Drosophila melanogaster: one gene and its partner. The protein of the gene in region 2 interacts with the protein of the main gene of each other region in a pairwise test. Each region holds a gene or a part of one and is shown on either strand. Other genes may lie near its edges. The genes, in order: CG8230 and Tbc1d22.

The links.
Region 1: the proteins of Tbc1d22 (region 2) and CG8230 interact in a two-hybrid assay, tested with the Drosophila melanogaster proteins (one large-scale study listed by BioGRID).

The regions. Positions count from the first base shown.
Region 1 is NT_033778.4:8,943,706-8,949,199, forward strand, and holds CG8230 (uncharacterized protein), read right to left. Parts: upstream 3,640-5,494; 5' UTR 3,567-3,639; coding exon 3,424-3,566; intron 3,345-3,423; coding exon 2,159-3,344; intron 2,103-2,158; coding exon 1,605-2,102; intron 1,546-1,604; coding exon 1,423-1,545; intron 1,351-1,422; coding exon 1,201-1,350; 3' UTR 593-1,200; downstream 1-592. Other genes in the region: CG33199 (uncharacterized protein), read right to left, coding at 5,048-5,236.
Region 2 is NT_033777.3:21,100,367-21,105,674, reverse strand, and holds Tbc1d22 (TBC1 domain family member 22), read right to left. Parts: upstream 3,477-5,308; 5' UTR 3,399-3,476; coding exon 3,014-3,398; exon of another isoform or gene 2,953-3,013; coding exon 2,757-2,952; intron 2,254-2,756; coding exon 2,085-2,253; intron 2,032-2,084; coding exon 1,500-2,031; intron 1,090-1,499; coding exon 866-1,089; intron 794-865; coding exon 659-793; 3' UTR 562-658; downstream 1-561. Other genes in the region: Sec15 (secretory 15), read left to right, coding at 1-210; CG7044 (uncharacterized protein), read left to right, coding at 4,103-4,226, 4,297-4,480, 4,541-5,308.

The DNA of each region.
Region 1 (5,494 bases), on a different chromosome or scaffold from region 2:
TTTTTAGTCACATATTTAGCCGATGAAGCTGGTGGTGGGAAAAAAACGTAGCAGTAGTAATAAACAATAAACAAGGCAGCCAGCCCATCATCGTTGTTGTTGCAGCCGATAGTGCAAATATGCACAATGAAGTGCAAACAGCGAAGCCCGTATGCGTAGTGGAAATGATAAACGGGAGAAGAGGTGCTTAAGCATTGTTTACCCGGCGTATACGTAATAAAGGAAACTTCATTTGAAGCTTCCGTTTGGCGATATTTCTTTGGCGAAATATAATGAATACCCATTGGGATATGTGGATATTTAGCTTAAAATAAACTGACCAAATACGAACCCAATGAATCTTGAAGTAATATGACTAACCAATACTTCTCAACACTGAATTCTTTCCAAGAAGTGAACTTCGTTTTTAATGATAAATCCATTTCAAAAGACCAACTACTTTTTTCATAAAACACTGCCACGTTCCGATGACGAATTGCAAAGAAGATCTAATCACATTCTTGTTCTGATAAAAACCAACCCAAATAAATTTGGGCTTTCCGCAGATAACACTAAAGGCTGCCATAGACAGAAGAAAAAACACAAGAGCGTTAACTTTAGTTAATATATAGTTTATCGACGTTTTCAATTGCTAAATACAATACAATATATAATTACCATAGACTAAAATGTAAATATATTTTGCATATATTGTATATTCCGATTCTTTAATATGTATATATACTTTTTATTGGATTTGCTGCTTCCCATTGATTAGAACATCGATCTGTAGGCGTACGGAGCTTAACTTCCCTCTAAACATGCTCATTGCAGTCGGCTTGGCAAAATATGATCATGTTTCAAGGTTGCTATATTTTAACTTGAACAACAATTTCCGACCGGATTGCTTGTTAACATACACATTAGTATAAGCGTAGCTATGTCTATGTATTATCGTTAGTTCTCTCGTTTGCTTTGTCTCCTCTTGTCGTCAACGTTCGAGATGCGCATGCCTCTTATTTAGCGCAACATTTCTCTTGCTTTGTTTTGTTTTTGATACTGCATTTCGACATTTTGGGTTGGATCAAAAGGTAGGGCGTGGTATATGGCTTAAAGATCGGGTAATCCCGCACAGAAGACAAACGGAGAAGCATCGAAACATGGTGGAAACCAAAGCGGAGCCGGGTGTGTGCGTGAGAGGAAGGGATAGAGCAGTAAATATTAGCAGGCTATGTCCGTGGTCACGCTCTTGATGCTCTCCGAGCTGAAGTGCACGCAGCCGTACTTGCAGACCAACGTCCACACATATGGAATGAAGAACTCCTCGGGAGCGTCCTCCTCGACGTACTTAAACTTAAGATCCGGGAACTTCTGCAGGATAAACACAAAAAGAATAAGTGAGCCTGCGATTTGAGTGAGTAACTCATCGAGCGGATTACTTACTCTCAGTCGATCGCTGGACCACTGACTGGCACCTTTAGATATAACCTCGAGCACTTCATTGACCCCAAGCTCGCCTCTCTGCTCCTGGACACGCTGCAGACGCGAGGAGAAGAAACCGACAACCTGAAAACGAAGACAGCATGAGACACATCGCATAATCGGATCGGAACTAGTGCGCATACCATGTCTATGTTTTGGATGACATCCTGGAAGGCGTGGTGACTGCGGAAGCCCTCGAAGACGCTGCGCTTGTACAAAAGAGTGTACACCAAGTTGGGACAGTAGACCAACTGGTTTGTGAGGCAGGAGTTTAGGATTTCCAGCACCATGCGCAACACCTCCTCCAGCACGCTCAGATCTTGTAGCATGTCTTCCGGGGTCGTCGAGACGTTCACAAACACTGCGCTATCGGCCGGCTCCTTGAGCTGCGCATCCAGGCGCGTATGCTTCCGAGCGAGCGTTTCGAACAGCGAGACCAGTCGCTGTGCCACGTAAGGGTGTAGAGCGCGGAAGTGGCCGGACATGTTGGCCAGCGCCGCCAGGCAATTGGTGTGCAAGTACTTGTCGCGCATCTTCAGCATGTTGTACTGTATGGTGCGGATGACGATAAGGATTAGGATGCCGCCCAGCGATATCTCCGATATGGTGCGTTCCGTATACCATGTGATGTTTTTTAGCATCTACAGGGATGAGAAAGGATTAGTAATGCAACTATTAGCACGCACAGATGACCTACTATGGTGTGCACATTCTTGTTGAAGCCCTCGTCTTCACTCAGGATCAGCAGCACGATCAAGGACATGTAGATGTGATGTGAGTTGCTATCGGGGGCGTTGTACAGTGTCTGGAGGATGGGGATCACCAACTGCTCCAAGTCCTGTTGCTGCATGACGAACCGGTAGAAGCGCTCGTTGCGATGGAGCAGCAGATAGAGCAGCAGCGTGGCCTGGTCGATGGTAACGATGGTACACAATGTCTCATATACCGCCGAGAAGTCGATCTGGAAGGAGACAGCTCCCTGTTTTGGTGAATCCTTTGAATCGGCGCAACTGAAAAGGCTAGTCCGATAGGCGTTATCCTGTGCCGTGCAGTGGTTAGTCAGTATCAGGATCAGCAACAGGCTCTGGTTGGCCAGTGGGTAGTGGGTACGGAATCGCTGCGAGAGCTCTCCACCGCCGGCTGCTTGGCCCGCTTTCAGTATGTCTGGCTGCTTACGGAACGTGAAGATGGAAAGCAGCGACTCCGCGATGCCAAAGACAAAGGATCCAGCAGAGCTGGACCCAAACATGGTGTGCGGCACCTCCACAATACGCGCCACAAAATGCAGCAGTGCCGACATCAGCACGTTTGCGTGCTGACACTTGAAGACCGTCCGGAACACGATGGACTTGTCCGTGGGCTGTTGGGCAAACAGATGCACTGACAGCAGGGTGATCAGCATGTTAACGGCCTCTAGGTGCAGGTGGTAGGTGAACTCCTTGACGGGAATCACGACGATTAGGTTCACCAGGGCATCGATGAAGGTCTCAAACTTAGATCCGTCCACAATCACTGGAACCGCAGCCGCCGCCGACTGTTCGGTGGCCTCCATGGCAATGGTGGCGCTCTCCGCCGGCGTCTGTTGCTGCTGCTCCAATGCCGCTTGCAGCAGCTCTGCATTCGGCATAGCCTCAAAGTGCTGCAGCAGCTGGAACTCAGAGCCCGTCTCGTTGATGTACTTGACCAGGCTGCGGATGATGAAGAGCGCGTTGAAGGTCTGCCAGACGTGCATGTTGCTTTCCTGGTCCGACAGCGACAGCAGCTCGCTGGTCTTCTCCAGGAACACGGTCACCAGGGAGCCAAAGTTGCCCGTCTTCAGGTTATTGCCGATGAACGACTGGCACAGCGCCTCTAGCCGGCTGTCCAGGTTGAGCTGGTCCTGACTGAAACACACACCATTTCAAACCGCCCGAGATTAGCCCTGCTGACGTTGTTGCTCCACTCCTGTTCCACTCCACTCACCTGTTCTCCGGCAGCACAATGTTGTAGTTGAGCAGCCCGTTCCAGAAGGCCTCGTCATCGTGGGCGATGTGCTGGCGGCCCACGAAGCGCTGGAGCCACTGGTTGGACCCCAGGTCGGCCGTCCTGCTGACGTTGATGCCCATTCCGCAGTCGAAAGAGTGCTGTTGGCCGGCCAATGGTTATATTGGTGGCACGTCACTTGATCATTGAGCGGGGGGGTGAGGTGCTTACCCTTCCAGTGTGACCCTCGCTCAGCGCTGCGGAAATCCGTGCAGCTGTGGTGCCGCCGCTGCGCAATACTTTTGTCACATGTGGCGCAAAATTCAAATGCGGATTTTTGAAGCTGAAACTAAATTTTTTGAACCTTCGGATGTTGAAACACGTTTATGTGCTGTCCATATAAATGTCCTAAAAATGTAATTCAAGACATTAACGCCTCTACAATGAAATGCAATTGCTAAAGCAATTCTTCGGAAACTGTCCTTGGCACTTTATTATTTTAGAAGTGATAAAGAAATTAAAGAATTTTAGGCGAACCATATATTATATATTTTTAGATAATATGTTGGCTTATTAATATTAATATTATTAATAACCACAACATTATTTTTTGGGAATTAAAGTATTTATTTGCATAAACAAGAAAAAAGAAACTATTCAATAGATTGGGGATTTACAGCGAACTTACGGATGGTGGATAAGCTATTTTAACGTAAATATAACTTTTCAAGGGTATAGAGTATCTAGGCCTTGACAGCCGAAAGTTTATGTTATGCTGTTGATTCTTTTAAAGTACTTAGTTTTCACGCAAATCATCAACGAGTCACTAACCCGAGGAACAAATAATTATTTTTTATATTAGACTAGGAACTATAGGAAAATGTTAAAAATGTTTTATTCATAACCTCTAGGTGCTGGCTTAATATTCATATGTGCTTTAGCATGCATGTTTTAACGGAAACTAGAAATAAAAATCAATATTTTCGAATTGAATATAATGCATTTATTTGAATACGGAACTAGAACTAGTTTGTTTCTTGGATACTGACACAGCCTGCTCGGCGATCTGCAGTCCAACGAAGTCATTATTGTTTTATACCTCCCTACTTAGTCGTTTCTCTGGTTTGCAAATAACTTGTAAATAAATATACGTATATAATAGACTTGTTTACACATAAAATAAATATTACTAAAACGGGCAACAAAAGAGTATAGGAAAATTTGGGATTCCCGCAAGCTCAGCGAATCTTCTCCTCCATCGCTCCTTCGTTCAGTTTGTCTGCCGATGGGCTTTTTTCATACACGATTTATCACAAATTTATTCCTTTTAGTTGGCGACGCATGGTGTGCATGTGTAAACAAGAAAATATATCTATATATGCGCACAGATCCTCGCCTCCGATCAGTTAGTTTATCGAACAGAATATTACAAAACAAGCCTCCATGTCCGAGTTCCGCTTGGGTCTGTGGTGAGTGGGTGACTTAACTTAGGCAAATATACACGATGATGGCGGATGATGAAAATATCGAATGTGTGACCTCAGGACATGGCGCTCTGGCTCCTCATCGCCGCTTCAACCGTTGGCGTTGGCATCGCTCTAATCTTTCTGGCTATAGCTCCATTCTAGAGCTTGCGCAGGCCCTGGTGCTTCTGCTTCTTGGCCAGCAGTTGCTTAAGGCTGAACGAGGACAGCGCGATGCCGAAGAGCGCCAGCATGGTGGCAGAGCGGGTCACCACACGGTTGGGCGACGACGAGCTGGTGGTGAAGCCATGGCTGCAGTGCGTCGTGGCCTGTGTGGACAACGTCGGCGCCTGCGGGAGATAAGATAGGGAGACAAATTTAGTTTTTCGCTCGTTTTATATATATCAATCCAAACAAACAATAAACTTGGCCCACTGCCCGACGGCCCCCGCCCACACAGGCAACTACGCAGCAGAAACAATTTACGCCGGCAGTTGGCAACTAGGTTCAAGTGCCCCGGCCGTCCACACGAATGCGATTACCCCACATGGTCGCACGATTATTGAACTGATTGCAAAGGGTCGATGTAATGCCATATTATCGTGACT
Region 2 (5,308 bases):
CTAGAGGAATGGAGCACGTATTTCCATGACTATGGCAAGCAAGAGAACCGCTACCATCTGGTGCAACCGCAGTCCATTATTGTGATACTGGAAAAGATCCGCGAGGCGGACAAAAAGCCAATTTTCTCGTTGGTGCGAAAGAATGACAAGAAGAAGCTTTTGGAGACGGTGCTCAAGCAGCTTAAGCACATTGCCGATAGACAGAATTAGAAATATCAGGCTTGTAGTTAGTCGCTTTAAGTCCTTGTTGAATTCGTGTAATCATAAACTATAGCTTTTCATCTTTATTGTTTAGGCTAATTTGAATTTTCACATGGAAAAAGTATTTAGTTCTCATTACATTTGATTCGATTTGTTTTTATAAAAGACAAATTTCAATTGAAACAGCTCGACCCGTTGAACGTGTAAAATTGTATTTTGAATTTTTGATTCTTATGTACAAAAAGCGCAGAACTTTAGCGGTTGCCTACGTACGGATTGTTGATAAATACAAAACGAAAACGACATAGAATGAAAACAAACGGAGAGGAACGTCTAAATAACAAATTGTATATAATTATTAGATGTATGTAGCGTACGTGTATTGTGTAGGTATATTCCGCAAATCGTAATAAACTAACTTCTAAGTTACGTATATGCGTTGTTTGTGTTGCTTTTGTCAACTCTTCGTCTCCAAATGCTTGGGCGCATCCGCATACGTGAACTTCAGGCGGAATGCCTCGGCCAGCAGAACGTTGATTTGTCGATCGGACCAGTTGTGTGTTGGCAGATTTTGTAGCAGCAACATGAGGCCCTATCACATAGCAAGATGGCAATGATTAGTAGACGTTGCAGGAAGGGAAGATCTTTTCGTCTGGAGACTCACCTGGAAATCGTTTTGTTGCATCAGCTGCTCCTTCCAGTGCAGAAGGAATGCCGCGCACACGTACAAGTGGAACAGGGCAAAGCCGTCAGACTCTGCGAGATATGTGTCCCACAATCGGATGGTGCAGTGCAGCGGCAGCTCGCGTGTCAGCAGATTGTTCATCCAGCGAAATGAGAATTGCAAGTAGTCGACGCCATGTGCCTGTAGATGACGATGTAAGTTCACTGAAAGCACAAATTACAATTTATTATCATCACTCGGCAATTGTAGGTTGCATGTCCAATTGGCTTATCTAGTAATTATTTTTATTTGTTCCGAACATTTGCGATCTTAAAAATGTTTATACGTGTCATAGCCTATTGACCAAGAGCTATCTTACACCATATGGCTTCTGGAAAAACGTGTGTAAATATGTAAAATTTAAAGCATCCTTGGTATCTTTGACAGGGCACATCAAAATGGCTTGACTTTGATGAGGCTTTTCTTTGCTTAGGCATTGGGCATGGTGCTTGCCTTCCAATTTATCTTATCACAAGAGCATTAACATATCTCTATCTATATTTGATCACTTTTATTGTAAGGTAATCTTGATGTGGCGTCTATCTACGGGCAAAGGTAAAGCATTCCCACTCACCGTCAATGCGCTGTATCAGATCCTTGAGTTGGTTAACCTTCTCCTGTATGCCCAGCTGGGCAAAGATGTAGTTATCCTGAATGCAGTCGAGAAACTTAGATAAGCACCAAAACGAGTCCGCCTCGATAATGTTTCGAGTCTCCTCGGGCAGCGTGGACATGTCGTACTTTTCGAGATCCGTATTCGGCGTCAAGGCCTCCTGTAGAAAGACGATAAAGAAGGGCGTGACCAGGTCGTTGATGCCTTGCACGTAGCCGGAGGCAGGATGGCGAATGGCCCAGATAAAGAGTATGCGCTCGAACATCTCCTGGACAAGCTGCTGCTGGAAGAGCGGAATCTGGGGGTTCATTCGTGGCACATCGATGTGGATCTGGCGGTATGTGTCCTGTTGCGTCTCATCCTGGCTATCCACCCGGAAGTAGTTGTGCCTGAGGTCCTGGTAGCCCTGCCGCTTGCTCTCTAGCACCGCCATCCTTCGCTCACTTGAAGGCGGAAGATACTTCGAAAGGAGTCGCCAGCTGACAGCGCGCATCTGGAGTTCGGTTTAATTAGAATTACACAACGAAATATTTGTTCGATTCTCACCTTCCGAGGCACGCCAGACCAGCTGATCTTCTTGAGGGCCACCAAGTCCAGTTGAGGCGAGTCTAGCACCACTTGGAATTTTTCAATTTTCGTCTCGTACTCGCTGTCCTGGCAATTCGAGCTGATCTTCTGCAATTGCGGTCTGCCCGGGTAGTTCCTCAATCTAGATCTGAAATGGCAATATATATTACTAACCGTTGAAGTCTTGATTACTTTCGGTCTTAGTTCCGCGTCTCCCGACATTGCTCTGTGGGAATAGCTGGGAGTGGCTATCAGTTAAGAAAGTGAAATGCTTCAGGAGCGGTTGCCAAGTTGGTGTTAATACTCGTTAAAACGTGGCGAATGGCAATAATAAGTTAGGAGCGCCCCAATGATTAACAACATATATAGGTAATTTTAACCTAATTACATAGTAATATTGTATATTGTATATTGTAAAGTACCGTTTCAAAATTTGAATCTATTGTAAGTATTTCAACTCCCATATGACGGAATTCTTCATATCTTTAGTTTCTACTTTGATAATAAACACGTTAATGCTTTTTAAATAGCACCTAGGAAATAATTCAGAAAGCGGGTTCGATCCGCTCTACACCCCTGACTTATTTGCACAACTGCAGGCATTGGGTTCAACTTTCTTTTTGACTTCCCAGTTGAGTTGGCGCCGCTCACCTGTTTTCATTACTGTCCGGCAGAGATCTACGGTCTTCCTTGCAGTCGTCCGTCGAGCTACTGCTGACTGGGACCAAATCTGCGCCACTTTCGTTTGCTGACCGGGATGCATTATGGTTCTGGTTGCTTCGAGAGTGCGTCTCGATCACGTTGAGAGCCACCGTCTGCGACACTTGCCGGGAGAAATGAGCCGCATCTGTTGGGGGATCAAAACGAGATCAGAGGTTGAGGAAAACCATCGGGGTTGCGGAACCCACCGCCAGCTCCAACGGCCGCGGCAGCCGCCTCCGTGCTGCTGATGATGCAGAACTCGTCGTCACCCATGTCCCAGGCATCGCTCACCGACTTCTGGTACTCGGTGAAGGTGGACACCATGCCAGATCCGGGGGCAGCGCCGCGACCGACCGCTACCCCAACTGCCGCCGCCTTCTCGAGCTCCCGCTTGGGACTGGGTCGTCCGGGCACTCGACGTCCGCTGTTTTTCCAAAAGGTCGAGGAGTTTGCGCCGGGCGTTGGTCCGGCTCCACTTGCCACGGTTACTACTGCTACACCTGCTCCTGCTGTTCCTGTTGCTGCTGCTGTGGACTCGGCTGTTTCAGTTTGGCTCTTTCCTGCTAATTGCTCTACATTGTTATCCATCATACGTTCCCTAGAGCCGATTCTATGTCAGCGTCATTATATTATTTTGCATCAAAAACAGTGTGACCATGGCAACTATTTACGGCTTTCACCGCACGACACTTCTTGGTAGTGATGAGAGCGTATCGTGATCAAGTGACTGGTGCGAAACCGAACCATATTGATACCCATTACTTGTGGAGAAGAGTGAACCTAGTATAGTTCCGACGAGTCGATCAAGAGATATAAATGATTAAAAATGAAAACTCGTAATTCAAGACATTTTTCTATGCAAAAGCTTTTAGAAATATGGAAAAAAGGTATGTAATTAAAAAATATTTAATAAAGACCGTAATCTTTGAGGTATAAACATAACGAAAATGTTTTGTACAGAGTTCTTCTTTCTGCAATATTAAGTAGTATAATTAGGTAATTTTAATTAATGGTAGTAATGGTATTACTTATTAGCAAAGAATAAAAGGGAAACTATGCACCGTTATATGTTTCGATGCGTGACTTTGACCGCTCACCTGGCAACCCTGGCGAATGCGCTTTGGATTTCGACTGCAAACGTACACGGCCACTCAATACAAAACAAGTGTCTTTCGGTGTGATAAGAACCAGAACCCGCAATCAACGATTTCATTATTCGGTGGATCAATTGCAAGCTCCAAAACTATGCCATAAGGGGCAGTCGCCATTTAAGCAGTCAGTGTGGAAACAGCAAGATGCAAAAGCAAGAAGAGACGCTGTCGCGCCTGCGAACGATATTCGACATATTTTTACGCGAGAACTTTTCCACTACGAACAATGTTTACTTTGAGAAGCTCCTCACGCACTTGCAGGCCAAGGGTGAGTTTACCAATCGGAGTGGCCCCGCAATCTGCCCTTAAATCCTCAAATGAATCCCATCTGTCCGCAGAGAATGCCTTTGTGCTGCAGGCCCCATTCGTGGTGGAATGGGTGGACAGGTGCATCACGGCGGTGACCGAGGACTTCAAAAAGATCCACCCGAAGGTGATATCCTTCATGCTGAATCTGACCAGTTTTCTGGCGAACAACGAGTGGATGATCGTGCGCCTAAGAGAGCTTGATATAGTAAACAGGTAAATGGTAGGATAGAAAACCAGGCTCTAATCTCTTAAAATAATCGACTACCATTTTAGAGCAGTGAAACTACTACAGAGGGAACACAACTTAAGCCCATCGATTAAGTTAGGTGGCATACGTCTGATGAAAGCCATCACCGTGTATAGCATGGGGCTGGCCTTTCTGCGGATGCACCGGATCTGGACGCTGCTCATCCAGTATTCCAACAACGATCACACGCTGTACGTGGTGCGGGAGGCCCGCCAAGTGCTTTACAACATGGTGTACAAGTCCTGCGACAAGCTGCACGATAAGGCTGTTACCCTGGAGATTCTGTCGGAGATTATGCAGCCGATTCACGACAATCTTTATAAGAACACCGACGGCGTGGAGCGCATCCACGTCAAGGTGGACGACAACGAGATGTTGCACAAGATCTCGTCGACACTGGATCTACTGTCCTACATACTACAGCAGACGCTGGTGCTCGAGGAGCGCACCACTCTGATCATCCTGCTCAAGGAGCATCACGACTTCGAGATTACCGTTTGGAAGCTGATCGATATGACCCACAACCCGTACTTTACTGAGAAGATCTTCACCACACTGAGCAGCTACAACTTTGCCCTGCTGTTGCACGAAAAGTTGCTGAATCCGAACGCCACCGAGCCGTCGGAGGAGTTCACCGAGTTCGGGTTGGCATTCTTTAATCTCATGAAATTCCTTATTACCCGCAAGGACGGCTTGAGTTTTGTGAAGTTGGCGGAGCTCAATCATGTACTTTGGAAAAAACTTGGACCTCGTGCGCCCAAGGAAATTGTCATCCAACAAGAGCGCGTTACGTT